4 separate regions of the Mus musculus genome follow, and all the other regions are reported to be linked to region 2. The links are microRNA targets in miRTarBase. Many come from high-throughput screens and were not tested one by one. Region 2 holds a microRNA gene; each other region holds the end of a gene's coding sequence.
Evidence for each region. Region 2 holds the annotated microRNA mmu-miR-425-5p (AAUGACACGAUCACUCCCGUUGA, at 2,195-2,217, shown strand). A microRNA usually pairs through its seed, bases 2 to 8, with sites in the 3' UTR of a target mRNA and lowers its output. Matches are read on the target gene's strand: a 7mer-m8 pairs with bases 2 to 8, a 7mer-A1 pairs with bases 2 to 7 and ends in A, and an 8mer does both.

Region 1 (7,933 bases), not on the chromosome of region 2:
AATGGATAAATGCTAAAGGGTTGCAGGCGAAACACTGGCTTATAGCTCAGTGGGTGGAGTGCACATAACTCAGTGGAGAGAGTGCTTGAGGCAGAGTGGGCTGAGTACTTGTAGCTCAGTGGGTAGAGTGCCTGTGGCTCAGTATCTAGAATGCATATAGCTTAGTGGGCAGAGTGCTTGTAACTCAGTGGGGAGAATGTTTATACCTCAGTTGGTAGAGAGTTTGTAACTCACTGTGTAGACTGTCTATAGCTCACATGGCATAGTACTTAACTCAGTGGGTAGAGTGCTGGTGGCCGAGTTGGCACTAACATGCCCCAAGGGCTGGGCTCCATTTCTTACCATGTAAATGGAAAGCCAGTCTGCATCCGTGGCATATAGGAGATTGAGGCTGGAAGACAGGGGTTTAAGGTCATTGTTAGGGGTTGGAGCCCAGAGTGCAAGCTGCCTACCTGCTTGCTCTCACAAATCCTGGTAAGTCTTTTTCCCACAATAGAGATACCATGTGGTGGTGTGGGTGGAATGAGCACCTCAGTTGATTCTGGCATTTTCTGGATCCAAGTGGAGTCTTCTCTGCTAACACAGGGACCTCATCAAGAAGCTGCTGGTGGTGGACAGGACCCGACGCCTAGGCAACATGAAGGTGAGTCATGCTAGAGCATTCCAGTTTGCACACTGACGGTGATGTCATCCACTAAGAGGATCCCAGACCATGCTCAATGTTAAATTAGTTTTTGGCTTGTTTGTTTGTTGCTGGTTTGTTTTTATTAATTCTGTGTATGTACTACTCAGGTTTATTACCTGCCACAGTGGACTCAGGTCCCCTGCAGCTGCAGTTACAGGAGATTGTCTACTTCCATATAGATGCTGTGAATCTAACCTGGGTCCTCTGAAAGAGCAGCCATCTCTCTGGCCCCTATTTGCTGTTTTCCTGTAGCCCAGACTACAATCAAAATCACTATGTTGTAGCTAAGGATAACCTTGAACTTGTGACCCACTCAACCTCCCACCTCCCAGGACTGGGATGACATGCATATGCCTCCACTCATGGTTGACTTATTCTTTATTTTTGAGTATTTATTTATTTATAAGACAGGGTCTCAGTATATACTTCTGAGTGTCCTAGAAATCTCTTTTGTAGACTAGGCTGGCATCAAAGTTATCATCTGCCTCCTTCTCCAGAGTGCTAGAATTAAAGGCATGTGCCACCAAACCTGGCCACTTAATTTATTTTTAAATTGCTTTATTGGAGATTTTAGAAATGATACACATGCACACGCACATACACACACACTTTTTTTTTCAAATGCTTTTTACTGAGTGTTTATGTTTCCTCTCAAGAATGGGGCAGAAGACATCAAGCGGCACCGGTGGTTCCGAGGTGTGGAGTGGGAATCTGTGCCACAAAGAAAACTGAAGGTGGGAGTATTATACACCCTTGAATTAAATGAACAGCTTCATATATGGTCCTAACCACCCAGTGAGCTCCCACTACTGTGTCTCAGTCTTCCAAATTAATTTACTAGAGGTTTATTGTCATTTATTTTGCGCTTGATGTATGTGTATTGTTTCTGTGTTCATGCGCACCATGTGACTTCAGTACTGGAGTACCTTCAGCCTCTCATAAAATTTGTATTCCAAGTGACAGGCATTACATGTCCCCACTGGGCTACCCAGTGTCACCTCATTCACTTATTTTATTTCTTTGTTGCTTTGTTTATTTTGAATGACTCTCAGCCACCCATTGTGCCCAAGTTATCGGGTGATGGTGACATCTCCAACTTTGAGACTTATCCAGAGAGTGAATTGGACAAGACACCTTCTGTATCTGACAAAGACCTGGAAACATTCAAAAATTTCTGAGGATGAGAACTCATGTCTGAAAGGTAAAACTTTTTTTTTTTCTGAATTTCTAAGTAGGGTGTCATGTAGCCAAAGATAGCTTTTAATTTACCATGTAGTTGAGAAAATATACATTCAGTGCAACTGAGAATGATGAATTAACCAGTCTGCAGGGTTTCTTACTATGTATGATTGTCAGGTAACTCAGTAGTAAATGTTGATAATCTCTGAACCCTCCCCCTTCCTTTTCTTTGCCAGATGTATGTGAAGACATCGATACCACACCATACCACACCACAGCACAACATACCACACCAATGGCCAGAACCTTTTTTGTCGTACGTTTCCATTTCCTACTATGAAACTAGAAGGTTTGGTGTGTGTATTCCAGTTCCTGAAAGATCAATACAATCATCACCCTTGGAACCCAGCCTCATTTCAACAACTGGAAACCTGCCCAATGAGAATTCGCAAAACCTGTTAAATTGTAGGTTTTCTCCTTCTTCATGAGTCTTGTGTTTGTGCTGTGAATTTTGTTTCTTTTTTTGTTTGTTTGTCTTTCTACTGAACTTTTTAAGTTTGAATTTGACCCATTTGGTTTTATGGCTGTCAGTGTATATGTGCACAGAAATTGTGCAAACTGGAAATTTTGGCACTTTGTGCTTGTGACATGTTCATTTTTTAAAGCTTTCTGAAAAATCTTTCACCCTACAGGCAAAAAAAAAAAGGGTGAGATATATGCTTTTTAAAAATGCCTTTCTATGCATTTTGCAATCATTTGTGTACATTGTTTATTTAGTTACTGTTTGTTTATTTAGTTCCTTTCTGGTCACTTTAAACTTGGAAGTCAGGAAGCCACATGCCCTGCAGACCCTTATTCAGATATAGCACAAATGTGTGGCTTTCCTCCAATCTTCCAGTTTAGATGTTTTCAGTAAAATATCCCTTCCTAAAGTTAAGCCAGAACTCTGCATACAGCATGGCACCTGGGTGCAAAGATTGCCTTTTTATGATAATACAAATGTACCCACATCCCCACAAGGGAACTTTAAGGATCCACCCCTTAAGCCCCTCCCTCCTCTGTTGTAAATGGCATTTTCTTCTCACCATCTTAACTTTGTTCTCCCAGCCATGTCCGTCCGTGAAAACTCAGGTTCCAGGCCGGGAACTTCTATGAAAGTTTGTACAGAGCTGTATTTTTGGTGAGCTTTCTCAGTGCTTTCCAATATGCAAACTAACTGGGTTATGTACCTCAAACAAACAAACACATACAGGAGATAGAATGCAGGATTATAATCAAGTCCTGTCAGTAGATGTTTGCTATTAAGTAGGAAATAACATGAAATTAGCATAGGAAATATTGCCTTAATTCTAAACACACATGGGGAGATCACACATGCGCACATGCACCCTCTGTGTGCTCCTAAAGCACCTTGCAATCTGACTCCAATCCTAAAAATCAAATAAAAAACCCTTAATCAGGCTGTAAATCAAATGACACTATGCGATGTCACTACAGTGACATCAGACATCATATAGGAATCATAATTTTCTATTTTAAGATTTTTAATTCTGTGTGTACATGTGACTGCAGTACACACAGCCAACAAGTGCACCAGAGACCCTACAGCTGGACTTATAGGCAGTTCTATGCCGCCCTGCGGATGCTGAGAACCAACCCAACCTCGATCCTCTGCAGTCCATGTAGTTAACATGCAAGAAGGGGTGGTAAGGCAAAAGCAGCCATGAAAAAGGGTGAGGGAAATATGTCCTGTTCTTAACTCTGAGTCCAGGGAGAGTTGTGCACCCAACACCTTCTCATGAAACAATGGAATAGTTAATAAATTTCAAATTTCTCTGGTGGTAGCTTGATTCGAACCAAAGTATAAAAGATAATCACTAGCAAATAAAAATTTAAAAACAAATTTCTGGGCTGGAGAGATGGCTCAGCGGTTAAGAGCAGTGACTGCTCTTCCGGAGGTCCTGAGTTCAAATCCCAGCATCAACCTGGTGGCTCACAACTATCTGTAATGGGATCCGATGCCCTTTTCTGATGTGTCTAAAGACAGCTACAATGTACTTACATATAATAAATAAATAAATCTTAAAAAGCAAAAAAAAAAAAAAGGAAATCCCCTCTTTTAAAAAAAAAAAAAACAAATCTCTATGCTCTTCAACTAAGACTGACTTTAATGTTTAGTACAGATAAAGTACTACGTGCTGTGGATTGGTGCTTGTCTCACTAAACTAGCTGTTACATGTTACACTGTAGAATGTGATTTGATGGCTTAATACTGTTCACAGGACCCTCTGGCTGTGCAAATATCCCAACATTGGACCAAAACATACCAATCACCACTGTGTTGCTAGGTGAACCCTAGTGAAAATTTAGCATTGTGTGGGTCTTGATGTTGAGGTGAAAATCACAGAAAGGGTCTCACTTCTGACTGTAGATTTGAAATATGTTGATTTCCTGGGATTTGTTTGTTTGTTTTTGTTATTGTTTTGGATGAAGCTCCGTAGGAAGCATTTGATGAACATTCAACACCTGTCATTCTTATTTGTCAGAACACTGTAAACCACCTGAAACTTATAATGCAAAGTCAAGGTTTATGTGTGAGTTGGTGCCCCCATTAGGTTGTGTTTGTTCCCATCAGTTTAGGGGGAGGATCTGCTTCCCAACTGTTAAATGTTACTATCAAATCTGCCTTTGAGTCTCACACCCTTGCATCTGGCCTCACAGTTATTTGGGAGAGGGAGGTTGCTCCAGTTGGTTATGTAATAGACATCATGACATCATTATCTGTGTGACTTAGAGAAAGTGAGCACCCCAGCGCTCCTGGTCCTCACATGTCAGACTAAAACCCCTTGTCACCTCCGTTCTTCTCAGAGTGTGGGGCTCATCACTTGACCTGCTATAACACAGGTCCCACGTGCACTGTTCAGGTGCACCCCCCCCCCTGCTGCCGAGCAACCGTCAGCTTGCCTGAAATTATGCAGAATGAAAAAGCCTGTTTCTTTTTCCTTTTTTATCCTGATGCATATTAAAAAAAATCACTGTGATTTGTGTGTATATCTCTCTATATATTTGCCCCAGGAAAACTTTCTGCTGTCTAATTTATAAAATACTATTACTGAGTCCAGGTTTGTTTAATAAAAGTTTGTATGTTTTAAGAAATCTGTTTCAGGTCGTTTCTTGACTTTTCCTGTAACACAGGGTAACACCATAAAACACAAGTCATTGACCATGGTTAATGACCTCAGTGATCCAGTCACCAACAGTAGTTGGTGCCCATTTCTCAGAGGCAGAACTAGTGAAGCTGAAATGAAGTTGGGTTAATCAAGGAAATTGGTCTGCACCCCTGTAACAGGTTGATGATTGTTTTGAGGAATATTAGTACCCAGGATAGTGGAAGTATTACAAACTTCAGACGTCATTAACTTGGGGGATGGGGGTAGGGTGGTGCATAACCTAAGTCACAAGAGTGTGCTATGTGGGATTTCTTTTCTGGTCCTTATACGTTTCTGTGCATCTCTTTATTTTTCTTTTACTTTTTTTAATGAATAATATCTTTATTTACATTACAAATGTTATCCTCTTTCCCAGTTCCCCTCCCCAGAAGCCCCCTATCCCATCCCTCTACCCCCTGCTTCTATGAGGGTGTTCCCTCACCCACCCACCAACTCCTACCTCCCTGCCCTCGATTCACCTACACTGGGGTATCGAGCCTTCACAGGACCAAGGGCCTCTACTCCCACTGATACCTAACAAGGCCATCCTCTACTACATATGCGGCTGGAGCCATGGGTCCCTCCATGTGTACTCCTTGGTTGGTGGTTTAGTCCCTGGGAGCTTTGGGGGATCTGGGTGGTTGATATTGTTGTTCTTCCTATGGGGTTGCAAACCCCTTCAGCTCCTTCAGTCCTTTCTCTAACTCCTCCATTGGGGACCCTGTGCTCAGTCCAGTGGTTGGCTGTGAGCATCGCCTCTGTATTTATCAGGCTCTGGCAGGGCCTCTCAAGAGATAGCTATATAAGGCTCCTGTCAGCATGCACTTCTTGGAATCCACAATAGTTTCTGCATTTGGTGACTGTATATGGGATAGATCCCCAGGTGGGGCAGTCTCTGGATGACCTTTCCTTCAGTCTCTGCTTCATACTTTATCTCCATATTTGCTCCTGTGAGTAGTTTGTTACTTCATCTAAGAAGGACCAAAGCACCCACACTTCGGTCTTCCTTCTTGAGCATCATGTGGTCTGTGAATTGTATCTTGGGTATTCCGAGCTTTTGGGCTAATGTCCACTTATCAGTGAGTACATACCATGGGTGTTCTTTTGTATCTTGGTTACCTCACTCAGGATATTTTCTAGTTCCATCCAGTTGCCTAAGAATTTCATGAAATTATTGTTCTTAATAGCTGAGTGGTACTCCATTGTATAAATGTACCACATTTTCTGTATCTATTCCTCTGTTGAAGGACATCTGGGTTCTTTCCAACTTCTAGCTATTATAAATAAGGCTGTTATGAACATAGTGGAGCATGTGACCTTGTTATGTGTTGGAGAATCTTTGGGGTATGTGCTCAGGAATGGTTCTCTTAGTTTTAATCTATTGGTTTCTGCCCTGACTTTGATCATTTCCTGCTATCGCTCCTCCTGTGTGTGTTTGCTTCTTTTTTCTAAAGTCGTCAGATATACTTTTAATATGTTAGTATGAGAACTCTCCAATTTGTTTATGGAGGCATTTGGTGCTATAAACTTTCCTCTTAACCCTGCTTTTAGAGTGTCCCATAAGTTTGGATATGTTGTGCCCTCATTTTCATTGAATTCTAGAAAGTTATTCATTCCTTTCTTTTCTCTGACCCCAGTGATCATTGTTGTTGTTCAGTTTTGATGAGGAGTATGTGGACTTTCTGTTGTTTCTGTTGTTGTTGTTGTTGTTGTTGTTGTTGTTGTTGTTGTTGTTGAAGTTCAGATTTAATCCATGGTGATCTGATAGGATGGGATTATTTCAATCTTCTTGTATCTGTTGAGACTTGGTTTGTGACAGACTATATGGTCAGTTTCGGAGAAGGTTCCGTGAGGTGCTGAGAAGGTATATTCTTTTGTATTTGGGTGATAGATATATGTTAAGTCCATTTAAATCATAACCTCTGTTAGTTTTGTTATTTCTCTGTTTAGTTTCTGTCTCAATGACCTGTCAATTGGTAAGAGTGGAATGGTGAAGTCTCCCACTATTAGCGTGTGGGATTCATGTGTGATTAATCTTTAGTAATGCATCTTTTACGAATGTGGGTGCCTTTGCATTTGAGGCATAGTTGTTCAGAACTGAGATGCCTTCTTGGTTGATTTTCCTTTAGTGAGTATGAAGTATTCTTCCTGGTCATTTCTGATTGCTTTTGGTTGAAAGTCTGTTTTATTAGATATTAAAATGGCTAGTCCATCTTGTTTCTTAGGTGCATTTGCTTGAAAAACCTTTTTTTCAGCCTTTATTAATATCTATCTTTTTGCTGAGATGTTTCTTGTGTACAGCAGAATGATGGATTCTATTTACACATCCATTCAGCTAGCCTGCGTCTTTTAACTGGGGAATTGAATCTATGGATGTTAAGAGATATTAATGATCAATGATTGTTATAACTTTCTGTTATTTTGATGGTGGTAGTGGTGGTAGTATGTGTGTGTGTTTCTCTTCTATTTTAATGGTGTGGATCTATTTATTTATTTATTTATTTATTCATTGTATTTTCTTTAGTGTAGTTAGCCTCATTGGGTTTGACTTTTCCTTCTAGTATCCTCTGAAGGGTTGGGATAGTGGAAAGGTAGTTTGAATTTGGCTTTGTCATAGAATATCTTAGTTTCTTCATCTATGTTGACTGAAAGTTTTGCTGGGGCAGTGAGCCCCGTCTGCCAGACCTTCAAGGTTCCACCATGTTCTCGAAGGTGAGTATTGTCAGGCTGTCGGCCTGTGCCACGCAGCCGCAATGGATCCAAGTTTGAAACATGGCAACTCTGAAAGATATTACCAGGAGACTGAAGTCCATCAAAAATATCCAGAAAATTACCAAGTCTATGAAGATGGTGGCAGCTA
Region 2 (7,933 bases):
GCCAAACACGCGATTTCCGCAGATAGTGAAGCCTCTGCTACTGTAGCTGTCGATGTACACGGCCTGAGGGAACTCGCTTTGCAGCAGTGAGATGCGAGTCCGCTGGTATAACTCATCGTCCGCCGGAGAAAGCCGGTGTCCCCGACGCGGGTTCCTCCTGCGGAGGGCTAAAGTCAGGAAGTCGTGGCCCGGCCGGACTATGCGGGATTGAAAGGTCCGAGGCCAAGTGGTCAGAGGCTGGACAGGGGATGCTCACCACAGCCGGTCGACGTGCCGACAGAGCGGCGCAGGTCGCGTTCGGAAAAGGCAGCGAAATCCTAGAGCAGTAGCCATGGCTGCAACGGCGCTTAACGACCCGGTCGTAGGGACAGAGTTGTCTGTCTCAAAGTAGCCACAGCGCCCCTTGCGTCCCGGAGGGCACCGCGCACCTTGAACGGCGCAGTAGGCCAATGCAGAGCCTCTGTCTCCCCATGCGGGTGTGTCAGCACCTGTCGCCCACCCCGCCCCATGCCTCCAGCGACAGTCCCTAAGGAGGAGGGGGAAAAACACCTGCTAGTACGGGCGCCCTAAGGGTATTGTTTAGGCCACTGCCGCGGCCTGTTCCTGGGATTCTCAGCCATTATTCGGGCTCCCAGGGACCAGGGCGGGGCAGCTGCGCACCTGGTCCTGTTATGAACACCTGGCCAGGGTGTGGTGCCAGCCTCCAGGCCCTTAATCCCAGGCTTTGGAGAATCGGGCTCCGGGGGCGGGGCAGATGGCTAAAATTTCCCTAGCTAGTCTCGAAATCGCTGCTTTCCCCAACCGTCACCAGCGCGACCGTTGGCGACGGCGCAGCGCTCCATGAGAGGCGTGGCCGAGCATGGATTGGCTTCCCGGCAGCGCGAGGGGGTGTGGCCAGATGGTTTCTCCTTAAAATGGCTCCAAGTCTGGGGACAGCTAGAGCCAGCGGAAGGGCACGCCGTGGCAGTGCTGGAGTAGCTGTTCGAGTGGGACTGACTGGGCCAAACCGGACCAGACGTGAAGTAGACCGCGCCTGGAGCACCACCCCGCCCTTGCGCGCTCTGCGCGCGCGTACCGAGAGTCTCCCTCCCCCTGTCTTGAGCTGAGTCTAGGGCCTACTGGCGCATGAGTCCTTGGCGTCCCGCGGCATGGGCATCTCTGCGCACCGGTTCTGTCCTGGCCTCAGAGGAACTTTGTCGCGTTCTCTATCCGCTGGACTAGACGGGTGGGATGCTTGACACAAATGGGGCTTGGCTGTGGGGTTCTTTGCAGGGCCGGTTGCAATGGGCTTGGGGGGAGGCTGTCCTGCCGCTGCTATGTGGGCCAGTTTGGCCCCTGGCACTTCATGAGCTGGCACCGTCACCAGACAAAAGGTCCTAAGCTTTGGGGAGTCCCAGAAGTGGACACATGGGTTTACTTCCTCTCGGGTCTCACGGAATCGCTTCCCTCTTGACGGATTCCGAAGCCTGCCCGGTACAAGTGGCTCCTGCTTGGGACTCACAGGGCTAATCCAGCCCTTCTGATCTAATCCGGATCAGGACCTCGTCCCGGGGGATGCCCCCACCTTCTATTGTTCTGGGGCCCAGGTGAGCGTCTCATTCTCACTAGACTGGTTTAAAACACCTACTCCTTCCTACTCAGCCCACTGGGAAGGGATGGGCGGGTTCCGGTTTGGCCTCAGGGCGAGTGACCTGGGAGCAAGAGCCCTCCTCCAATGGCTGGACAGCGGGCAACGGAATCCCAAAAGCAGCTGTTGTCTCCAGAGCATTCCAGCTGCACTTGGATTTCGTTCCCTGCTCTCCTGCCTGAGCAGCGCCCTGGCCCAGATAATGTGGTCTCTATTCTCAGAAACACTACACTACTGGGCCATTCTGATCTCCATCTCTCAGGTGCACCCCCAGACTGATGGTGGCAGTCAGAGGCGACGAAAAAAGCTCGGGCTGATGGCCCTGTCTGGAATCCCTGGAGAACTCTGACCAGGGAGGTCCTGGGTCCTCTCTCTGAAGGGCCGCAATGGCGGTGAGTCCCACAAGGCCGCCCAGCCCGCAGCTCGCTAAAGATAGATCTTCACTTCCTGGGGAAAACCCACCCCAACCGTCTTCATGGAGGGAGAGTAGCTAAAATCACCAACTTGCTGGTGGGTCCCAGCCCTGCTAGCAGCTGAACCCACACCACAGCATGGAAAGTGCTTTGGAATGACACGATCACTCCCGTTGAGTGGGCACCCAAGAAGCCATCGGGAATGTCGTGTCCGCCCAGTGCTCTTTCGGCACCTCCCAAACAGGGCCTCATAGCCCCGGCCTTCCCGAACTTTTCCTATCTCTAGATGTCACTCCTCTCCGGAGCAAAGTTCACCGGTTGGATTCATTCATTACTGGGGGAAGTGGAGTTTCACGTTACTTGGAAACGAAAGAGTTTGGACATAGAAAAGCTCACCTGCAGCTTGCTCTACCTGAGAGCTCTGCTTATTTGGGTCTTCTCATCATCACATTTGTCTTAAACTGACCAGTTGCCTAAAGAACCAAAGGTGCCGGTAACACCAGTTTAAAGGAAAAACATTAAAGGCTGGTAATCCTGGAATCATGATGACTAATTCCTCGGGTATCAAGATGGGCAATTCTATCCGATTGGGCTTTTACTGGGAATAAAGACATTCCATACCGCAGCCGAGGAAAGGCGTACCAATAATCAGAACTCAAATTTTGCTTTGTTTCGTTACTTTTCCAAGTAGGCGGTAAAGAGTCTTTAATGGAAGACACGAGTGGTGGCACACACCTTTAATCCCAGTACTCAGGAGGCAGAGGCAGGTGGATTTCTGAGTTCAAGGACTTTCTGGTCTACAAAGAGTTCCAGGACAGCCATGGCTACACAGTGAAACCCTGTCTTGAAAAACAAAGTGTCATTAATGGTACAGCCTTATTCCTTTGACATTTCGTCTCGTGCGTCTGGCCTTTAATTTGTTTAAATGGGGCAGAAAAAGAAAAAAGAGACATAAACACAAAGATGTGAAACTTTGGTGGCAAAGTGTCTTGCCTGGTAACAAAGATCCGTTATCAAAGTAATAATTCGGGGTGACGATTTTTTTAAAAAGGAGGAAAAATGGACCCTCAAATTTGGAGGTTAGGGCTCATGAATACAGGAAAGGCCATCGGGAGGGAGAGCTGGAGGCGTGGGTAGAATGTAAGCTCACTTGGCATGCTCGATCGCTCTGGTCCATTCAGGAGAGTCCACGGCCGGATCCCCGCCCCCGCCAGGCGGACCTCCCGGAAGCTCTACGGATAACTTACTTCCTGTTCCATTTAGTCTTCCGGTCGCCATGGCGACCGGGCGCCTTGGGGTTGGCGAGACGCTGGAGGCCCTTAATGCAGCTGTAGGGCCTGGTAGCCCAGTGTGGTTTAAGGAAACCCATGCCCGGCACCTTCGTGTTCGAGACTTCTTGGCACCGCGAAGCGCGCTACAGGCGCGCTTCAGGGACGGCCAGGTGGGTGCGCTCCTGTGGGGCATGCCTAGCGGGATCCACGGAACTACGGCCCACTTACACACATCTGCCTGCAGGTGCCAGAGTGCGTGTTCCGTGCGGTCTCCTGCCTGCAGGGTCCCGGAGTGGCCCCTGTACTGCGCTGCGCGCCGACACCCGCGGGTTTATCGCTCCAACTACAGCGGCCCGCTGTCTTCGAACATGTACTCGGTGCCCTGGCCTCCTATGCTACTCCCGCCAAACCTGCCTCACCAGGCCCGCGAGTTGTCCTACACTGCCCAGCACTGCGCTGTAATTCGGGGACGCTCCGATTGAGCCAGCTGCGTGCCGTGCTCGTAGCCGATCATCTAGTACGGGTACTGCGTGCTCATGGGTAAGTGCGTGTTCGAAGCTATAATGGCAAAAGACCGAACATTTGGGGATAGAAAAGGTGGGAGTCATGATAATCTAAGCCTGGTCCGCAGGCTGAGACAGCCTCCCTTGCTTTGCAGGGTACGTGTGTGCTCAGTGCCCCCGGTGCGGGACCCTCACATGTCAACTTTCCTCCAGAAACTTCGGGTGGAATGGCCCACTGCCTCGAAGAGCACCTCGACCGAAACACTGAGAACCTGTGTTCTTGCAAACCTTAATGGTTCTAAGGAAGCGACGCTGCCCCCTGGCGTCCTAGGCCGACTGTGTCTGAAGGAACTGGTAGAACAGAGAGGCACTGCTGGCTATGACCCCAGCATAGACCACTGTTTGGGTAGGACAAACGGCAGAACATGGGTGGGGTTGTGTCTCTGCACTGCCAGGCACTTCAACACCTCTTGTTTTCTGTAGTGACTGAAGATGTGCTCTCTGTGCTCTCGGAGCTGCAGGAGGCTGTGCGCCACTGGCCAGAGGGCGGCCACCCAGGCCCGGTGAGTGGCTGCCTTGACCTCTGCCCAAACTGGATTTTTGTATCTTTGTAGTAACTGCCCCATCTCTCCTCAGGCTGGGCGTCCAGATGCTGGTGTAGATGACTGCGTGGTTATACACGTGGTTAGCTGTGAAGAGGCATTCCAGCAACAAAAGCTGGATTTGCTCTGGCAGAAATTGGATGACCGGGCTCCTCACAAGCAGGTTGGTTACCAAAGTTAACCAAACCACCTCCGACCTCAGGCCTGGAATACCATGGGGTTTAGAGACTGATGTGACCATAGGCACCCGTGCTACAAGTGCAAATGTCCTGTGACTATGTAGTCTTAAGAAAAAGGATGATGGTGTCTTGAGGAGGTACGAAGGAAGGCTGGTGGTTACAGATTGGGAAAACCAAGGTAGAAAAGCAACTGATATAGTTCCCTGAAGCGGGGAGGGTAGTGCCAACTGGGCTGAGCCCTTCCAGTCTTTCACAGAAACACCTGGTGTGTGGTCCCGTGAAAATGGCTGGTGTACCCGGCACCCAGCTGACTGCCCCTCAGTACTACAGGTGAGTATGAAAGGGATGCCATCCACAGCCACCAACAGCGTAAAGGTAGGGACAGCTTTCACTGAGACCTTGCTTACTGGCTCGCTTTTCTAGGCTCAGACATGCTCAGGTGTGCGAGGCCTCAGCTCTGAAGCACGGAGGAGACCTGGCACAAGGTACACCTGGGAGATCCTGCGTGTGCGCTGAGGTGGAAGCAGGTCACGCACACCTCTGGCCTGTGTGCTTCGTCTTCAGACACTGACCAGCCTCTCTCGCACCCCAGACCCCGCCTGGACTGAGACCTTCGACATCCTCTCCGTGGCTACCATCAAATTTGAGATGCTAAGCACAGCCCCACAGAGCCAGGTAAGCCTCCCGACACCAGGACGGAGGATGCAGGTACAGAGCCAAGGCCCTCTGCAGCTATGTTACCATTCCCCAGCTCCTCCTGGCCCACAGCACCATCTCAACAAAGGGCACAAAGAGCGGGACTTTTGTCATGTATAACTGTGCCCGCCTTGCCACACTCTTCGAGGGCTACAAACATGGAACGGAGCAAGGTCTGTATCCCACTTTTCCGCTTGTGAGCAGTCTGGACTTCTCACTACTCCATGATGAGGTGAGTGTTGGTCCTGATAAACGTCCACAAGGCTTGGACTTGTCTTCCTAGCACGCTTGTCTCCCGCAGGGTGAGTGGCTGCTGCTTTTCAACAGTGTCCTTCCCTTTCTGGACCTGCTGAGCCAGACTGTGAGTCTGGCCGGCACCCCAGGCCTCCACATCCCTGTCCGCACGGAGATGGTAAGGCACAGAAGACATTTCACACATTATTCTTTATTCTGGGTTGTAACACAAGAAAAAAGACAACAGCTCAACGACTCAACGTCTGTCTCTAGGTATGCAAGTTCCTGGTGCAGCTCAGCATGGATTTCAGCTCCTACTATAACCGAGTACATATTCTAGGGGTGAGCATACAGCAAGGGGGGTCTGCGGGAAATGTGGGCAAGGCTGAGCACACGGGAAATGAGGATGCGCCTGGCTGCTTTTCTTTCAGGAACCTCGGCCACACCTCTTTGGTCAGATGTTTGCTCGCCTACAGCTTTTGAGGGCAGTGCGTGAGGTGTTCCACACAGGCTTGGCTATGCTGGGCCTCCCTCCGCTGAGCCACATCTAAGGGCCCAATAACTGGGAATGTTTATAAAAGCATCAACTGGGAAAGAAACAAGACCTCACAGATGTTGGGCACTTAAAGTCAGAATAAATACAGTTTCATCCTATTGTGAGAGTGAGGCGTGTTCTTGGTCCTCCTATGCAACACCCTACTGGAATACTTGCGAGAACTATGGTACTGCCTCGCCTCCCCAGAGCACACTGAGCGTGACACAGACAGCTGATCCCTGCTCTACTGTCTGCAGTCAGGCCCTGTGCTCAGTTCTCCACCCACTGGGATAACTCAGTCATACCAGTTGTAAACCTCAAGTCCCTGACCTGCCAGAGCACAGCGGTGGCCAAACTCAGGGCTCACAGGCCAGCAGTCCATGTCGGCCACATCTGGCACATGGTACACAGTGCTATTCATGAAGGTGGGCTCACCCTGTCCCAGACGCCAGAAGGTCAGCCGCTGGTCTATGGAGGCTGAGACCATGAGCTTGGGACTTAGGATCTTGACGCCTGTCACATGGGCAGCATGTGCGCAGGGGACGGAATATTCCTCTAGGACACATAACTGGGGCACCAGCTCAGCCTCCCCATCAGCTTCTTCCGGCTCTGGCATCTTCACAGCAAGTGTGAAGACATGCAGGGACCCATCCTCACTGCCACTGGCCACAAGGTGGTGGCCCTCAGGTGTAGGCAAAGTGTGCAGGCTATTGACGCCACAGCTATGGGCTTGCACGGTCATGGAGGGGGTGCCCATCTCTGGAGGAAGAGAGTGGCTGTTAGCTCCCGCTTTTATCTTGTGAGAGAGGTAATGAGGGGTGTCACGGTACTCACGGTAGGGAAGCCCAGGGTGTGCTGGAAGCTCCAGGGTAGTAGAGCCTTTGTCCATTGCCGTGGTGAGATCCCAGAAGGCTAGGCTGCCATCTGTAGCTGCACTGCACAGGATCAGCCTCCTGGAAGCCAGGAGAGGACAGCCAGATCAGTAAAAGGGATGGAAAAACAGGAGCCCTTACCCAACCCACAGAGGGCTGCCTCTCACCGACGCTGGTTAGGTGCCTCATGTGTGAAGGAGTGGACTTTGAGGACACACCGCTTGTGGTGGAAAGACTCAGCTAGGAGATGCAGAATTCGCCCAGAGTCCTGCAGGAGAAAGAGCCTGGGGGCGAGGAGGAGGGGTGGTGGTCTGGGAACCGTCCTGGAGAGCTCACACCCTCCCCCTCCCCTCCCCCTCCTCTGCCCTATGAGCTCACCTCACTGCTCCATCACTACAGGCTGCAGCCACAAGGGGGCCAGGGCCGAGGCCAGGCCTATCGTTGTCAAGCTCACAAATAGCAAGAGACATGTACCTGTAGGGGGTACACACCGGTCAGGTGGGGCCTGCAGTCAGGAGTCAGGACTTTCCTATAACCCTCTCACGCCCCGCCCATGACAGGGAGGCCGCCTTACCTGGTCTCAGGGTCCACCTTGATCATCTTGTGCTTGTTCCGCTGCCGGTCCCAGTACTCATCCAGCCGGTGGGATGAAAGGTGCATGACATGACAGGCAAGGCGGCTGGGGGTGCTAGCGTCCGGAGTGACCATGACGCTGAAGCAGTGAATCTCCGCTCGGCCCCCTGCAGACACTACCTGAGCAGTGAGCCCTGGTCGAGTATCCTGTGGGCCACCTGGGGTGCCAACAGCCCACACTGCCAGGGCTCGCACAGAGGAGATATGGTTACAGACAGAAGTGAGGGCGTGGGCTGAGCCTGTGGTGGTGGGAAGTGCTAGGACACAGACAGTAGTGTCCTCACTGCCTGTTATCACTATGTCAATCAGACCAGGCCCCTCACTGCCAGGCTCCAGGGAGTCAGGATGCTCCAAGTTGGGTACCTCAA
Region 3 (7,933 bases), not on the chromosome of region 2:
GATTTGTTTTCAGCCTACTCTTCTTGACCCTTAAGAAGACAGTTTACAGGGGGTGGGGCGCTGGTTGCCTGTACAGATGGAGAGTTGACCTAGTTCCCTTTCTGACCAGTAGGGGGCCCAGAGGAGCTGCAGAGCTACCTCTGTCTCCTGATGGCTCCATACTTTTCTAAGGAGAATTCTGGAAGGATCCCTCTTGGGTGCTCCCTGGGAATGTAGCAAGCTGCTCTCCTTCAGGAAGGTGAGAGACACAGTCAACCAAATTATTGTCCTTGTCTCCCAGGATCTTCCTTTGGCGACTTGGGGACCTCTAAGCTGGGGCAGAGGCCACTGAGCCAGCCGGCTGGGATCTCTACCAATCCTTTCATGGTAAGCACTGCACTGTGACATTGGAGACACACAGATCTTTCCAGAAGGTGGTAATGTGGGGTATAACTAAGACCCCTTCCTGGAGTGCATGTGTGTGTACCCATGCACTCACAGAGGCCAGAGGAGGACTTCCGGTGGCCTTCCCTATCACGCTCCACCTGACATAGGGCCTCTCATGGAACCTGGAACTAGTCTGGTGGCTGGTGAACCCCAGGGGTTCTCCGGTCTCTGTCCCTCGAGGGACACCGAGGTTGTAGGTGCACATGAGACCACCCCAGCTTTATATGGGTGCTGAGGATTCAAGATTAGGTACCCATGAAGCCAGTACACACACACAGCCCACCTCCTCCCTTTTTTTGAGACTGAGTCGCATTGTGTACCCCAGGCTAGGCTGAAACTCAGGCTCCTCCTGCCTCAGACATCTGAGTGCTGAGATCTCAGGTGTGTCCATCCACACCCAGCTCCCAGGCCCCACTCAGTCCCTCACTCCCTTCAGTGTCCCCTAATCTCCCTTACTGTCTGTTTCTCGAGTGGTGACGTTGGGTGGTCTCCAGCAGTTTCCCTCCCCGCCCCGCTAATCTAGTAACCTTTTGCTGTCTCTTTGCAGACTGGATCCTCAGCGTTTGCCTCCAAACCTCCAACCACAAACCCATTCTTGTAGCACTGTGTCATTGGGGGAAGAAGGGGCTCTCCCCTCCTGGGGGTGTGGGGAACAACTTCTACTTCTGCACCCCTCAGAGCTCTGGTGACCATTTGCCTGTGGGGCATTTCTGTGGGTCTGAGGCTGGGATTGGGCCTGGGTTGCGGGGCTTCTGGATCTGGGAAGAGGGGAGGTTTAGAAGTGTGACTTGGAGATGACTCAGACTCTAGCCTCCTGGTCTGCCGCCCAGGGGCTTCCTCTTCCTTGCTGGACACCTACCCAGGAAGAAGCCCACAAGGAGCAAAGATACTCTCACCAGGAGACCCCATAGTGGTGTATTTCTGTCAGATTATTAATTATGAAGACAGTCTTCGATCCTGTCCCTCCTGGCCTGTGGGGAGAGAAGCTAGGCACAGCCCCAGCCGCAACTTCCTCCACACCCAACCTTCCAAAGCTGCCGCTGTCCTCCCAGATGGAAGCAAAGCTCGAATGTAGGGTAAAGATGAGGCCTGGTGTTGAAAGCCACCAGATAGCCCTGGGACTGCGGAGCTTCTGGTGTCTAGTGTTTTTGTTTGCCAGGCTCGGCCACACCCACTTCTCTCCACCTCAGTTCTTCCTAGCTGCCCCCTCATCTTGTCCGTCAGGGTGGGGGAGTTTGACCTACAGAGTATGCGTGCCCGCCTCCTGTCAAGCACTTTAGTTAGCCCTGTCATGTTTGGATACCAGTGTTTTATATTTATAAATAGAGACTTTTCTAATATAGCCTATTATATACATAAATAAATATATATATGCATACACATATGTAAACAGATAAACACCGCTGGCCATTCTTTTTCTCCTAGACAACCCTTGAACTTGGGGGACTTGGGTAGGAGGATCACAAGTTCAAGACTAGCCTGGACAATTTTGGGACCCTCCGTCTCAAAGGAAGAAAAAAAAAAAAAACAAAACGATAAAAAGTAAAAACAGAGAACTCAGGATGTAGTTCAGTGGTAGAGCACTTGTCTAGACTCCTCCTGGGAACTTGAAGAATAGGGTAACTCCTGCCTGTGCCTGGATAATCAAACCCGGAGCCCCAGGGCTCAGGGGAGGACAACCAAGTGTCCTGACGCTTTCCACAATACACACGAGAAGGGGTACCCCAGAGGCTAGGCTTTTCCAATGAAAAGTCTGCGATTGGCTGGGGAGTTTGGTTTTTTTTTTTTTTTTTTCTTCTTTTTTCCACATTCCTCCCTCTGTTCTCAAATATCTGCACCAAAGCTTGTTTGGAGGCAATGTCGGAAAAGATTGCGTTTGAAAGGATTAAAAAAAAAAAAAAAAAAAAGCTCTGAGTGTCTTGTTTTGTGCCAGCTGGAGTGGACACAAGTCAGTCAACAGGACTGAGCCTTGACTTGGATCTTCTGATCTTCACTGCCTGGGCTGATAAACACGTGACCTGAACTGCGCACCCTCTGTTAGCAAGAAGCCCGGAGACCAGTGAGGGTCCCGATCTGGGGCTGAAAGGTAGTGATGGCGCAGGGCGGCAGGTGCCAGGGAGCTGGTCGAGTGTAGCTTTGATAAGTAAACCGCCTCTCAGTATTCTCGGCGCCTCCAGCAGTTCCTTACCAGAGGCTGTTGTGTCATCGGCCAGGTGTTTTGCGCTGCCTGTGCATGAGATAAATTCCCCTCCAGCAGAGAGACCCAGGCCTTGGCCGTGCTGTTTACCCTGGGAGGCCCCGCCCTTCAGACCTCCGCCAAGAGTTCCTGGCCCTTTAAATTATTCATTCTTAGGATTTCTCTGGGCCTTCCATAGGGACCAGCAAAGGGATGTGGGCATTAAGTTATCAGTCAGTTCTTTGCTTTATAGATGTTTCTGGAAAGATCTGTAGCTCTTGCTAAGCCAGGCTTGGCCTTCCCTCTGCAATAAGACTCAGTCTCTACTGTTTCCGCTAGCCTAGCCTCTCCCCTCCTTCCCTCTCCTGGGAGGAGGGGGGGGAGGGAGTGAGGGGGGAGGGAGGTCACCCAGCTGGCCCCTAGCCTTTGTACTAGATTTTTCCATATTTTCTGTTTCTTTTCTCATCTTTAATAATGTCAGTCTGTTCCCCACCACCACCACCACCACCAGTTCTCCTACCTATGTAGCTTGGGCTATCCTCAGACTAATTCTGCTGCCTCAGTCTCCTGAGGGCTAAGATTCCAGGTATGTGCCCCGACGCCAGGCTGCCCCTCCCATTTCTTTTTTGCTGCTGCTCCTTTTGAGACATAGTCACAGAGGCTGTGTAGCTCTGGCTTGCATGGAACTCACTGTGGAGCTCAGGCCGGCCTCAGACACACTGTGTAACCAAGTGTGACTGAATTTCTGACATGCCACCACACAGTTTCACAAGGTGCTAGGAATCGAGCATTCTACCAAAGGAGCCATATCTTTGGCCCTTCCCTTTCCCCCCATTTTGCTTGAAGCCAGGAGTAAGGGCAAGGTTGGTTGTTTTTTTTCTTTTTTTAAACACAGCTTCCCTGGAACACTCTGGCTTCAGATAACTTTAGTTTTAAAGGACCCTAAAAAAAAAAAACAGGGCCCCTTTTATATATAAATCAAACTGCACTGTATCCCAGGGATTTCCTGTTGCCTGCCTGCTGCCTGTGTCCAGGTCCTCCTAGCCTCCTCCCCTCCTGTCCCTCTGTCTGATGTGGACCCTGGACAGTCTTCTGACTGATAATCTACCCAGGGTTAGCCTCAAACATCCCCTGAGCTGAGGCTGGGGCTGAAGCCACTGTCCCTGGCAGAGAAGGGCTCAGCAACCTTCCTCCGTCTAACCTCTCCAGACCAGTGGCAAAAACAACAGAAACATCCCCAGTGTATAGAAAAAAGGAACCAAGTGGGCTTGTTTGTCCTCTTTGCACAGCCTCACCTGACGGCTGTAAGTCTGGACAGATGCACATACTTGCACATACACACCTCGGGGGTGGGGGGGCCTGGAACTTGACTTATACACGTCTGGCCATGTCCTTCTCTCTACACCGACCCTGGCCAATGCTCTAGCTACGCTATGCAGGTGACAGCTACCCTGGCTCGGGTCTGTCTGTCAGCCAATCGCCCATGGGCAGTTTCTGTTAGTACCAAGCCTCATTACGTAGCTTAGTTGTCCCCCTCACCCACCCACCCACACACACCCAGAGAAGAATCACAAGCCATCTCAAAGGTTCTCCTCTGGATTCCTACTCCTGCTAACAAGAGTCTTCCATAGAGATGTGGTATGCCCCCAACCTAGCAGAGCCCCAGATATGCTACTTCCTGAGTTGCTGAGGTTTCAGAAGACTATAAAATATGTGCTTAGGTAGAGTTGTTGCTATGGCAACTGAGGTAAGCCAGGCTTCTGGTACCCAGCGTATCACGTCACCAGACACTGCTCACCTCTCTGTACACTACTGCACACTGCTATGCTCTCTCTTAGTCCACACCCCAGGTCCTTGGGTGGCTGCTGCTTCCTGCTTTATCTTTTACCCAGCACTCCAGGGCTGAGTGACACAGAACATTTGGAGCAGCCTCTGTGACAGCAGATGTGATTTCACAAGGACAGATGTTTGCAAGATAACCAGGGTCAGGGAGGCAGGAAGAAGATAGGAAAAGACCCTTCCTGGATGCTTCAACTCAATCCTGAGGGAGTGAAGCTCAGTTTCCTTTGAGATGGAGTCTTGCTCGCCATTGCATACTCCAGGCTAGCAGGCTAGAGAGTGTCTGGAAACCATCCTGTCTCCGCTCCCCTCTCACTGGGAGAGCCCTGGGTTTATGGCTGCACATGGCCATGTCCAGCTGTGTAACCTGACTACCCAGCTCAAGTCTCAAACTTGCATGAGTACATTATCTACGGGGCCATCTTCCAGGATTTGCCGACTGAACGTTGAATATTTCTTTCAGCTCTGGGTGGGGCTCTGCACGGTTGGGAGGCACCTGGGGCAGGCCTCTGGCACGAAAGGCCCATACCTATGATGTCTGTTGGTAGTGGGTGTCTGCTTTCCGTGTAGCATTTGAAAGGGGGCTCAAAGATGTGCAGTTTATAACCAGACAGGCAATGGTGGTGCATACCTTTAAGACCAGCACTCCCTTGGGAGGCAGGGGTAGTCAGATCTCTGAGTGCCTCTAAAGGGGGTTCCAGGACAGCCAGGACTTCACAAAGAAACCTGACTGGGGCGGGGACGGATTCCAACCCAGCTTCATACTGCAGTGATTTCTCTAGGATTCAGGATCACAAATGGGTCATAGACCTCTGCTGCTTGGGCTGCCCCTGAACTATGCTGAGAAGACGACCGACCCAGGTTGTCTTGGTTCTGTTTACCTGTTACATGGGTCCCTTACCTAAGGGAGCCCCTCCCCCAAGTCCCCTACCAGGGTCTCAGGGCTTGGCCTTTTCTTCTCTGTATACCGTTATCTTTCCCCACATGGATTTTGCTGGCCACGACATTAGGGCATTGGCAGGTCTGCTAAGGTACCATGACTTGTCAACTAAGCTTTGTCAGAATGTGTCACACCACTCCCCACCCCCATGTGACCCTAATGTAGAGAAACAAAATATCCAAGGGGCTGGGGACGTAGTCTAATTAGAAACGTGCTTGCTGTGCAGATCCAATGGCCCCAATTTGATCATCAGAACCCACATGGAAAGTAGAATCCCAGTCCATCACAACCCCAGCACTTCTAGAGCAAGCTAGAAGACTACAACAGGACACGACTCGGAAGGCAGAGGCAGGCAGCTCTCTGAGTCCCAGGACAGCCAGAGCTACAGAGAAACCCTGCCTAAAAAAATAATGGCCACTACTATCTTTAAATGCCTGGGGTACACAGTGCGGCAGCAGAGAGAGTCCCTGCTTCAAAAAGGTGGAAGGCTAGCCGGGCATGGTGGTGCACGCCTTTGATCCCAGCACTTGGGGGGCAGAGGCAGGCGGATTTCTGAGTTCGAGGCCAGCCTGGTCTACAAAGTGAGTTCCAGGACAGCCAGGGCGATACAGAGAAACCCTGTCTCGAAAAAACAAAAACAAACAAACAAAAAAAGGTAGAAGGTGAGGACCCACTTCCAAAAGCTGACCTCTGACCACATGCAGGGGACAGCCTGTACAACACACGTACTATTTTCCAAGCTGGGTGTGGTAGCATGCACTGTAACCTCAGGCAGGGGAAGTGGAGTCAGACATATGATAGGCCTGAGGCCTTCCAGGCCTGCAAATCGAACCTACTAGACAAGTTCTAGTGAGCCTGTCTCAAAAACAAGAGGGATCGCTCTTGAGGAATACGAGAGGTTGTCTTCCAGCCTCCAATAAGCATGTGCATTTGTGGCCTATGATCTCCAGCCCCACCCAAACCTCTCAGGATACACGGGCTCACCAGGACGTCTGCCACAGGATCCCAGCTCCTGTGACCACAGCCACCATCAGGTTCAAGTTGGCATTTGGCTGGTGGTCAGGGGCACTTTGAGGAAGGTGTCTCTGAGAGACTAAGTCCTCTTTCACACATCCTTCAGTGGACATTTGCATGCGTGGGAATCTGGAGAGGGTGGGGGTGCGGTTGGTTACCAGAGACCAATCTAGTTTGGTTTTCCTATCCTGGGGTATCCATCAACCCAAACTCAGATAGCTCAGAAGCAAAGACACAAAGATCATCTCTGGGTAGGAAAGGAAAGAACACTGAGGACCTATACAACTAGAGGCTCAGTTCGGAGGCTCCTCCCTGGAGAACTGCCGCTATCAGGATGGCCCGCTAGGCCAGGCCACTCTTCTAATTACTAGTGCCATCACTGCTAACCACAGCCGCTTCTTCTGCACCCTGGCTTTCTGGCTTTCGAGATTGCCCCGGGCTGCCTCTGGCGGTACTCCTCCACCCCCACATCCAGTCAGCTGATTGGTAGAGATGCCCCCCCTCACTCCCCGCCCCTGTGAAAGTTTGGTCCCAGCGGTGCAGGGCTCCTACTCTAGCCTATGAATCCTAAACTCAAATTCCTGCACTCGGGCGTGGGAGGGTTAACTTGAAGGGGTGGAGATTCCAACAAGGAGGCTGACCCAGCTAGGTCAGCCTCCCTTAGACCTAGGAGTCCTGGTGTCACTGGCCACTGGGACACACGCACTCCTGTGTACAGGCTCCTTGTTCACTCCAAGTCAGGAGAGGGCGTGGAGAGATGCAGGGCAGCTAGGCCGGCTGCAGTTTCCCAGGGCTACTTGTTCCAAGCGGGTGGTAGCTCAGGGGGCCAGACCCATTCAAATCAGTCCTTCTGGGGACAGTTTACTGTCTTTGGCTGGAAATGAAGCCTGCAGGTACGGGCCCCACAGTCTCCTCCGGGGGCGAGTGCACCGACGTGTCCCTCGGCTCACCGTTTCCTTGGCCCTGCCTGCCCGACGTGCGGCTCTGTGGCCATCTGAGGAAGCAGAAGTCCCAGCGCCGCCGCTTTTTCGTGCTGCGCGCTGACCCACCACGCCTGGAGTGCTACGAGAGCGAGAAGAAGTTCTTGGCCAGCGGCTGCCGCCCACCTAGACCCCGGCGTACCGTTAGCCTGGAGGGTGCCTGCACTATTAGCAAGCGCGCGGATGCCCGTCAGCGCCACCTGATCGTCATCTATACCAGCGACAGCAGCCTGGGCGTGGCGGCGGCCAGCGAAGCAGAGCAGCAAGCATGGTACAGCGCCCTGCTCGAGGTGCGCGCCACCGCCGCAGCCGCTGCTGCTACTGCTATGGGTGAGCCTTGGGTGAGCGACGGGGAGGTCAGGGGGTTGCCGACTTAGTTTATCTTGAACCCATTTCCCTCAGATCAACTGAGGTTTAAATCTTTTTTATTTTCGAGACAGGGTTTCTCTGTGTAGCCCTGGCTGTCCTGGAACTCACTCTGTAGACCAGGCTGGCCTCGAACTCAGAAATTCGCCTCCCAAGTGCTGGAATTAAAGGTGTGCGCCACCACGCCCGGCC
Region 4 (7,933 bases), not on the chromosome of region 2:
TGGGCTGTGCTGCATTGCTAGAAATCTTTGGCGATGACCGGGTCTCACTGTATAGCGAGCTAGCTAGCACAGACTAACCTGGAACTTCGCTGTGCTGCGGTTGCAGGTATGAGCCACCACATCAGGCTGAATAAAGTGTATTCTTTCTATTTCTTGCAGCTTGTGGGCTTTTTGCTCATTGGCGTGGCTGCCTGGGGCAAGGGCCTCGGTGTGGTGTCTAGCATTCACATCATTGGAGGAGTCATTGCTGTGGGAGTCTTCCTTCTCCTCATCGCGGTGGCAGGACTGGTGGGCGCCGCGAACCACCATCAAGTGCTGCTCTTCTTTGTATCCTGGCCTTAGTGATTGGGGCCTGAGCGGGCTTTTCCTGGGAAGGGGACCAGGGGACCTCAAACACGTCTCTTTGTTCTTACTCTGTAACCCACACAAGTTGACGGTTTTCCCCCAACTTGATAAAAAGTGCAGTTTGTGAACAGAGAAGGGCCTTGAACTCTGCCCCCTTGCCTGCCACATCGCAGTTAGAATTACAGTGGTGAGATTTTAAAGACAGAAACTGGGCCTATGCTATGTAGTCCTAGCTTGGAGCTCACACTAGGCTGGCTACCACACAGCTTTGTCTGTCTGTCTCCCTGAATGAGGTATTTTAAATGGAAAACAGGTCTTTTTGCCCTAACTTCTTCTCAGTATATGATCATCCTAGGTTTGGTCTTCATCTTCCAGTTTGGAATCTCTTGCTCATGTCTGGCTATTAACAGAAACACACAGGTAAGGGTAAGCCCTTTCATGTACTTGCTTGCTTTCTCCACTTTTATCTGACCCCTTCATCTCATCCTTGCTCAGACCCACTGCTTCCACAGATGTGTGCTCCCTGACACATATGGTTAATTCCCCAAGATGCAGAGAGACCCTGAGACACCTCACATTACCAATGATCACGCTGCGGTCTCTGTGGGGTTTTCCTTGCTAAAGCAGGGAAATGGAGACTCCTGAACCGAAGGGTATGTGAGGAGACTAATGTCTAATAATGTTCTAACGAATGTTAATGCCTGTGTGCTCTCTAGGCAGATGTCATCAATGCTTCGTGGTCGGTCTTGAGCAACAGTACCCGGCATGAACTGGAGAGAAGTTTTGACTGCTGTGGCTTGTTCAACCTTACAACCCTGCGCCTACAAGATGATACTTCCTGTAGTGCGGTAAGATGAAGGATTAGTCATTCCTGGGACATTCACTACAGCTTTTTGGACAGGGCAGGTGAGCAACTTTGAATTCTCTATATATGTCTGTTACCAGGTGTGCAAAACTAAGAGCTCTACATGCCAGATGTGTGGGGAGAGGTTCCTTAAACATTCAGACAAAGCCCTCAAGATCCTAGGAGGTGTTGGGCTCTTCTTTAGTTTCACAGAGGTAATGACTCCTCATGTACACACTCAAGCCTTCAACCCCATGGTCCAGAAATAACCTTTCTCTCTTCCTCTCCCGTAGATCCTTGGTGTTTGGCTAGCAATGAGATTCCGGAATCAAAAGGACCCTCGAGCCAACCCCAGTGCCTTCCTATGAGACTTTTGACCTCCCAGATAGCATCTCTGCAGCCTAGGCTGTTTCTAGCTAGCTCTGTATCCAAGGAAGACCTTGAATTCCAGACCCTCCTGCCTCAGCCTCCTGCTGGCATCACCACACTCAGCCAGCCCCTGGATCCTTCTGACTTGGCTTTGCCATTTTTTTGTTTTTTGAGACAGGGTTTCTCTGTATGGCCCTGGCTGTCCTGGAACTGTGTAAACTAGGCTGGCCTCAAACTCAGAAATCCACCTGCCTCTGCCTCCCAAGTGCTGGGATTAAAGGCGTACACCACCACTGCCTGGCCTTGCCATCTTTACAAACACCTAGGGGTGGCCCTATGGTTTTGTTTTAGAGAAAAGAGGTCCCTTACCTCACCCCCAAGAACTGGTGGTTGGACTTATGTCTGTTTTGATGGGAACACGATTATGGATGAGGGGAGGTAGGCCTCGGGCCCTAGGAGGGTAACTGCACCCCCCCCCCAAGACCCTTGGCTTCAAGGACAGAGTCAGAACACCAAGAGAAAACCAGTTATAACCCAGGGCCTCACAAGTGCTCGGCAAGCATTTCTACCAATCAGTTGTCATTCCCAGCCCCACCTACAGTCTCATCAAAGCAGGACCAGTGAACTTAGAAACTAAAGCCATTTTGACCGAATATTCAAAGAAAGCATTTCTCTCTGATCTTGCCAGCCAAAGAGCTGGACTGCCTGCCTAGGTCCTTGCAGGGAACTTGTTTTCGTGTTTTTTTTTTGTTTGTTTGTTTTGTTTTCCCCAAGTCTCCCAGTGGCAAAGCCAATTGGAAAAAACATTAAAGAAAAATAAAGACCATACTCTTTGTCTTGTCTTGTTTTCCTGTATAAAAAAGATCCCAGTATAAATCAGGGAGGGAAGAAGACAGATACACCTGCCCTTTAGTGTAGAGCTAGGGGAGGGTAATGGGGGTGAACCTCGTAAGGAGAGGTGGGGACTTGTTATTTAAGGCTTAAAATATTCTCTGTAAAAAACTGGAGGATTCTCCACAGCCTTGGGGGGAAACAGAGGCTGCCGCTTCAGCGAGGGTTTCTCCACCAAGACTGGGAAAGGCAGCCCCTCTTCTCACTCTGCGTCGCTTTCCTCCTTGTGCAGGTAGGAGTGCTGCAGGGCTCGGAAGGCAGAGATTCGCTTATGTGGGTTAAAGGTCAGCATTTCCTAAAGGGAGAGGACAAAGGTCAGAAAACAGCTCAGGAGCCGATGCTGATGCCCACCCAACATGGCTGTTTCCTTTGTCCCACTCTGGCTGGCCATTCCCAACAGCAGTGACAACTACAGCCTGCCCACAGCTACATCTTAGCTTCAGGCTGGTCTGGGCCCGTCTGTTTCATCTCTGCGTGCACGTGCTCATGTGTGAAATGCGGGCACGCACATGTGCGTGTATACATGCAGAGGTCAAGAGTCTGGGCTGCCAGTCCTTGCCTTCCATCTCATTGGAGACTCTGTCAGCGCTGTATTACCAGGGATCTGTCCATCTCGCCCCGAGTGGCACTACAGGACTGGAGAGATGGCTCAGCAGCTAAGAGCACTGACCACTATTCCAGAGCTCCTGAGTCAATTCCCAGCAACCACATGGTGGCTTACAACCATCTGTAATGGGATCTGATGCCCTCTTCTGGTTGTGTCTGAAGATAGCTACAGTGTACTCACATACATAAAATAAATAAATCTTTAAAAATAAATAAATAAATAAAAAAGGAGTAGCACCATAGAAGCACACAACTTCTATATGAGTTCTGGGGATTTGAACTCAGGTCCTCACACTTATGCAAAGGAACTCTACCCACTGAGCCAGTTCCCCAGGCCACGGTATTTCTTATCTTAACCCAATCCCCGCCCAGGTCCAGTACCAGTAGCAGCTGCGCTCCAGACTCCTCCATCTCTGGCACCACTGACTGCACTGGCCGAGGCCCTCTGGGGGCAAAGGCTCCTCGAGGTAGAGATACCTCTCGAGGCCAGTCGTCTTCTGGAGGCAATCCAATGAGACTGTGGGGACAGGACAACTCTGTTAGGAGGGGCCTTTCCCAGCTCCTGTCTCCGCGGCAGCAGGAAATGTCTTTCCTTTTCCTTATCAAATACTTACTCAAAGATTTTCCCCAACTGGTCGGCTTCAGAGTTTCCACAGAAGAGAGGCCTAAGGCAGAAAAAGACTCAAAGTATGTGTTATATCAAAAATAGGGGAGTGGGGGCTGGAGAGACGGCTCAGCAGATAAGACTGCTCTTCCGGAGGTCCTGAGTTCAATTCCCAGCAACCACACGGTGGTTCACAACCATCTGTAATGTAATCTGAAGTCCTTTTCTGGTGTGTCTGAAGACAGTGAGTGTACTCACATACATGGAAATAAATACATTTTTAAAAGAAAAAAAAAATTGAGGAGTAACCGTTATGTAGACCCAACTAGAGAGTGTGGAGACGAGGAACGGGAAGATCCTAAATCCAGGGCATGCCTATATGGTTTCTTGGTTCTAGGCAAGGTGGTCAGTATGAACTGGGTAGGCTGGATGTCCCGTACCATACATGCACAAAAGCGAATGGTCAAGAACAGGCATGTCTGTAAAAGACTTGGGGGCCGACGGAGTGTGAAGTTCAGTGGCACGGAAGCATTTACTGAGTGTGTGTGAGTTCTGATTTCAACCTCTAGCACAGTAAGACAAGCAGCCAAAGCTATGTGCAACTGAAGGTAGGTTAAGAGCTTCAAGTCCCATACGGGCGGTGGTAACGCATGCCTTTAATCCCAGGGCTCTGTGAGTTCAAGGCCAACCTGATCTACGGCCAGGACTAACCCTGTACCATTAACAACAAAAAGTTTCTAGTCCCATACTTCCGACGGAACATCTCTGCAAAGATACAGCCAACGCTCCACATGTCCACGGGTGTTGCGTATGTAGACTGCAGAAGAACTTCAGGAGCTCGGTACCAGAGCGTAACCACCTGAAGAGAATAGTAGAAATGAGTGAGTGTCGACCTCACGAACCAGACCTGCCTGGCTCTGAAAACTTCATGTACAAGACTCCTCAGTTGCTATGGGAAACCACCAAGAGCTACCCCTATCACAACCTAGTCGGCTAACGCCTTTTACTGACCACAGGCGTGAGGGCCATCTGGTAGCTGTAGATTCTAGCTAGGCCAAAGTCAGCCAGCTTGACGGTCCCATTACTTGTCACTAGAATGTTCTCTGGCTTCAGGTCCCGGTGAACAATGCAGTTTGCATGAAGAAAATCCAGGCCGCTTAGAAACTGACGCATTAGATCCTGTTTTTCAAGAAGAAAGCACAGAACACCGGAAACTATGTATCACTTCAAAATCCCAACAACTTCTATTGCAAAGATCGGTCCACCCTCGCCCCCAGCCCCACCCCTACTCACCTTAATGGTCTCAACCGGCAGGCCCGGTGGAGGTGCTTTGTCCAGGTATGTCCTCAGGTCCTGGTCTATATGCTCAAACACTAGGGTGACCTTGATGTCCCGATCAGTTCGGGAAGTAGCACAGACATCCATCAGCCTGAGAAGAACAAATGATCACCAGCTAGTCGTCCCCTTTGTCTCAACGTGGCCTCTGGCGTTCTAGGGTCCCACTCCTGCCTTACGGGTCCTATTGTCCTCTCCGCCCCACTCCCAATCCAACCTTCTCACCGTACAACATTGGGATGTTCAAAGGCCTCCAGCCTCCTTAACAAGGCCACCTCACGAACTGTGCTGACGGGAAGGCCCCCTCCAGCTGCTCCTCCATTAGGAACTCTCACACTCTTGAGGGCCACAAAGTGGCCACTGTGGGGATCTCGGGCTTTGTACACCGTCCCATAGGCACCGACACCAATTTCAGCCACGGGTTCATATCGAGTGGCAGCCATTCTCGAAGCAGGGGATCTACAATCACAGAGGCTTCTAATACCAAACTCACTCTCACGGTTAGGAGGGGGATGACCCGGCGGTAACAAAGGAACTCCTGCACAAGACCTCGCCAACGCGATCAGCAACATCCCACCCCTCCACACTTCCAGGGCCCGCGCCTTAGGTAACACAAAGACTCCCATCAAACCCTCCTCCTCCGGCCACGTTTTGTCCCGGAGGAAGAAAAAGAATGCTTTCTTTCCTTTCGGAGGACATCGCACTAGGCACAAAGAGGATCACACAGTGCACAGGGTTTGCACCGAAGATTCTGCACTTCACTCTCCAAAATCACACCCTTGCCCGCGACCACAAAGGCCCCACTTCCCGCCATTGGGCCACCTTCCATAATCAGCCAGCGACGCGCACGCGTGGGGAGCTGGAGGGTGCTGGTGGTGGCGGGGACTGGTCCCCCGATCCTGGATGAGACTGCACTCACCTTACGCTCGGCTAAGAGCTCTGGAGGTGGCCCTTTATCTGGGCCCGGGAGCCGGTTCCTGCGGCGCCATACACCGGGGATCGGTCCCGGGCAGCTGGACGCTTCGGGCCAGACCATAGACACAGGCCGCGAGCTAGAGAGGCCCCCTCACCCCCACCCTCACCATGTGACCAGCTGCCAGAGAGGCGCGCGGAAACCCGGGGGGCGGGGCGGGCGCCGGACGTTCTGGACACGTGATCTTCACCCTTGCGCAGTGGGCAACCCGGGCTGCTTTGATGGGAGGGGTGTGGTGGGGAAGGGGGCGGGGCCCTGACGGCCACGTGACCTGTTGCTATCCCACGTGACCCCTTGACTTTGCGCTGGGAAGCAGAGGTGTGGTTACGCTGTGTGGCACGTGACTGGCTGCCATACCCTGACTGCCGAGGGGGTGTGTGGGGGCGAGAGAGGGTGGAGCACAAGGCGGTGTCATGGCAACCGGGCCAACCAGCTCTCAACTCTGGGCTCAAGGCCGAGCCAGAGCGCATCTTCAGTCTCACTATGGGTCTCTGAGTGGGCGGGAGGTCGAGGTGTTAGTGGGAGATCCTGGTGCCAGAAATGGTGCTGTAACATTTCCACTCCACCGCCATGGGGAAACATTCGTATTTGTGTCTTTCTTTTACTCATTCATTCAACACAATTTTACTAAGTGCTTCCTTCCAGTTGGTATGCGATGTTTTTGTTTTGGTGTCTCAGTCACTCGCCCTTTGAAGTGATGATAAAGATAACTAGTATAGGTAATTGTGGTCTTATAAAACAGGGAATAAATAATTTCTATCTGAGGAGGAAACTAGGATTAAAAGATGGACAGAAGGAAATATAATAAGCCACTGTATGGGTATGGGGGGGCAGCAATTTAATGCCCTCCCTCTTCCCAACCTGTAAACCTCCCCAGGAATATTAAAAGCAGCAAGAAGTGATTGAAAATAGGGGTTCTTGATTTTACAAGAGTCTTTACACTAAGATTGCTACATATATATGTGATTGCATAAACAGATGACAGGGTAAGCATGTCCAGGGTCAGTCACCACCACATTGCTGGAAGATGACGTGTCCTTTTGCAAACCTGCAACTCCTCGTTGGGGTCATGTTCCTATTTTTTCCCCAGTCCAGCTTAGAACATATTCTTGATCTGATCAGCGTTTCCTAAATGGTCTGCCTACAGAAATCTAGTTAGACAGAGGTAGATCTGTGTGACGATTTCGTCTGCTCCAACTCCTTTATTGTCTCCCACCTCTTAGGGATATGGGATGAAGGACCATGTTCCCATTTGTGAAAAATTGCCTAAAATCTAGAGCTATTTTAAATTGATTTGGGGTGGGGGTGCTGGGGATTGGAGTTAGTGTTTTTTTGTTTGTTTGTTTGGTTGGTTTTTTGGATTTTCGAGACAGGGTTTCTCTGTGTAGCCCTGGCTGTCCTGGAACTCACTCTGTAGACTAGGCTGGCCTCGAACTTGGAAATCTGCCTGCCTCTGCCTCCTGAGTGCTGGGATTAAAGGCGTGTGCCACCACACCCGGCTTGGAGTTAGTGTTTTTATATGCAGTAAGCATGGGTTCAGTCACTGAGCTATATTCCTGAACCCTAAATTCTAAAATCATATTTGAGACACTAGAGTTGAGGCTGGTCTCAAATTAATTGCAATTTTTGTGCTAAAGCCCCTAAATGCTGTTTTTATAGGCATGAGCAACGATTTTGGCTCTGATTTATTTTATTGTGGATATTTGTTTTGTTTTAATGGAACAAGGTCTCATATAGCCCAGGTTGGTCTTGAAATGGACACGTAGCTAGCCTCAAATACTTGATCCTCCTGCTCCATCTCCCAAGAACTAAGGTTAAAGGTATGCACCACTTTTTTTTTCTTTTCTTTCTCTCTTTTCCTTTCTCTGTCTTTTCTTTCTTTGAGACTGGATCTTTCTTGCCAGGTAGCCCAGGCTGGCCTCAGACTCTGCAATGTCCACATGCTTGGGTTCTAGACCTGAGCCAC

Region 1: the mRNA of Prkx is a reported target of mmu-miR-425-5p. The part of its 3' UTR that is shown has no 7-base or 8-base seed match.
Region 3: miRTarBase lists Agfg2 as a target of mmu-miR-425-5p. Seed matches in the 3' UTR shown: 7mer-m8 at 1,032-1,038.
Region 4: miRTarBase lists Tspan31 as a target of mmu-miR-425-5p. The part of its 3' UTR that is shown has no 7-base or 8-base seed match.

The regions. Positions count from the first base shown.
Region 1 is chrX:77,758,059-77,765,991 of GRCm38, reverse strand. Prkx (protein kinase, X-linked) reads left to right here. Exons shown (of 9, transcript NM_016979.2): 6 at 586-643; 7 at 1,342-1,419; 8 at 1,738-1,886; 9 at 2,101-5,020. The coding sequence ends at 1,863. It also overlaps the pseudogene Gm8722. Among named protein-coding and RNA genes, the nearest start is that of Prkx, 34 kb to the left of the region's middle.
Region 2 is chr9:108,566,595-108,574,527 of GRCm38, forward strand. Mir425 (microRNA 425) reads left to right here and starts at 2,183; the gene lies at 2,183-2,267. It overlaps Ndufaf3 (NADH:ubiquinone oxidoreductase complex assembly factor 3), which reads right to left and starts at 842. Exons shown (of 5, transcript NM_023247.2): 1 at 257-842; 2 at 1-157. The coding sequence starts at 333. It overlaps Dalrd3 (DALR anticodon binding domain containing 3), which reads left to right and starts at 3,298. Exons shown (of 12, transcript NM_026378.3): 1 at 3,298-3,481; 2 at 3,556-3,851; 3 at 3,970-4,220; 4 at 4,298-4,377; 5 at 4,451-4,579; 6 at 4,852-4,925; 7 at 5,019-5,080; 8 at 5,188-5,270; 9 at 5,347-5,523; 10 at 5,593-5,703; 11 at 5,799-5,867; 12 at 5,957-6,177. The coding sequence starts at 3,317. The coding sequence ends at 6,076. Wdr6 (WD repeat domain 6) reads right to left here. Exons shown (of 6, transcript NM_031392.3): 2 at 7,507-7,933; 3 at 7,311-7,406; 4 at 7,100-7,216; 5 at 6,895-7,013; 6 at 5,717-6,819. The coding sequence ends at 6,356. It also overlaps Mir191.
Region 3 is chr5:137,644,863-137,652,795 of GRCm38, reverse strand. It overlaps Agfg2 (ArfGAP with FG repeats 2), which reads left to right. Exons shown (of 12, transcript NM_178162.3): 11 at 281-366; 12 at 974-2,333. The coding sequence ends at 1,027. It overlaps Irs3 (insulin receptor substrate 3), which reads left to right and starts at 7,082. Exons shown (of 2, transcript NM_010571.3): 1 at 7,082-7,705. The coding sequence starts at 7,276.
Region 4 is chr10:127,061,740-127,069,672 of GRCm38, reverse strand. Tspan31 (tetraspanin 31) reads left to right here. Exons shown (of 6, transcript NM_025982.4): 2 at 160-327; 3 at 685-765; 4 at 1,062-1,193; 5 at 1,291-1,404; 6 at 1,483-2,383. The coding sequence ends at 1,557. It overlaps Cdk4 (cyclin-dependent kinase 4), which reads right to left and starts at 6,138. Exons shown (of 8, transcript NM_009870.4): 1 at 5,914-6,138; 2 at 5,220-5,453; 3 at 4,953-5,088; 4 at 4,671-4,838; 5 at 4,409-4,518; 6 at 3,670-3,720; 7 at 3,437-3,572; 8 at 2,385-2,744. The coding sequence starts at 5,437. The coding sequence ends at 2,652.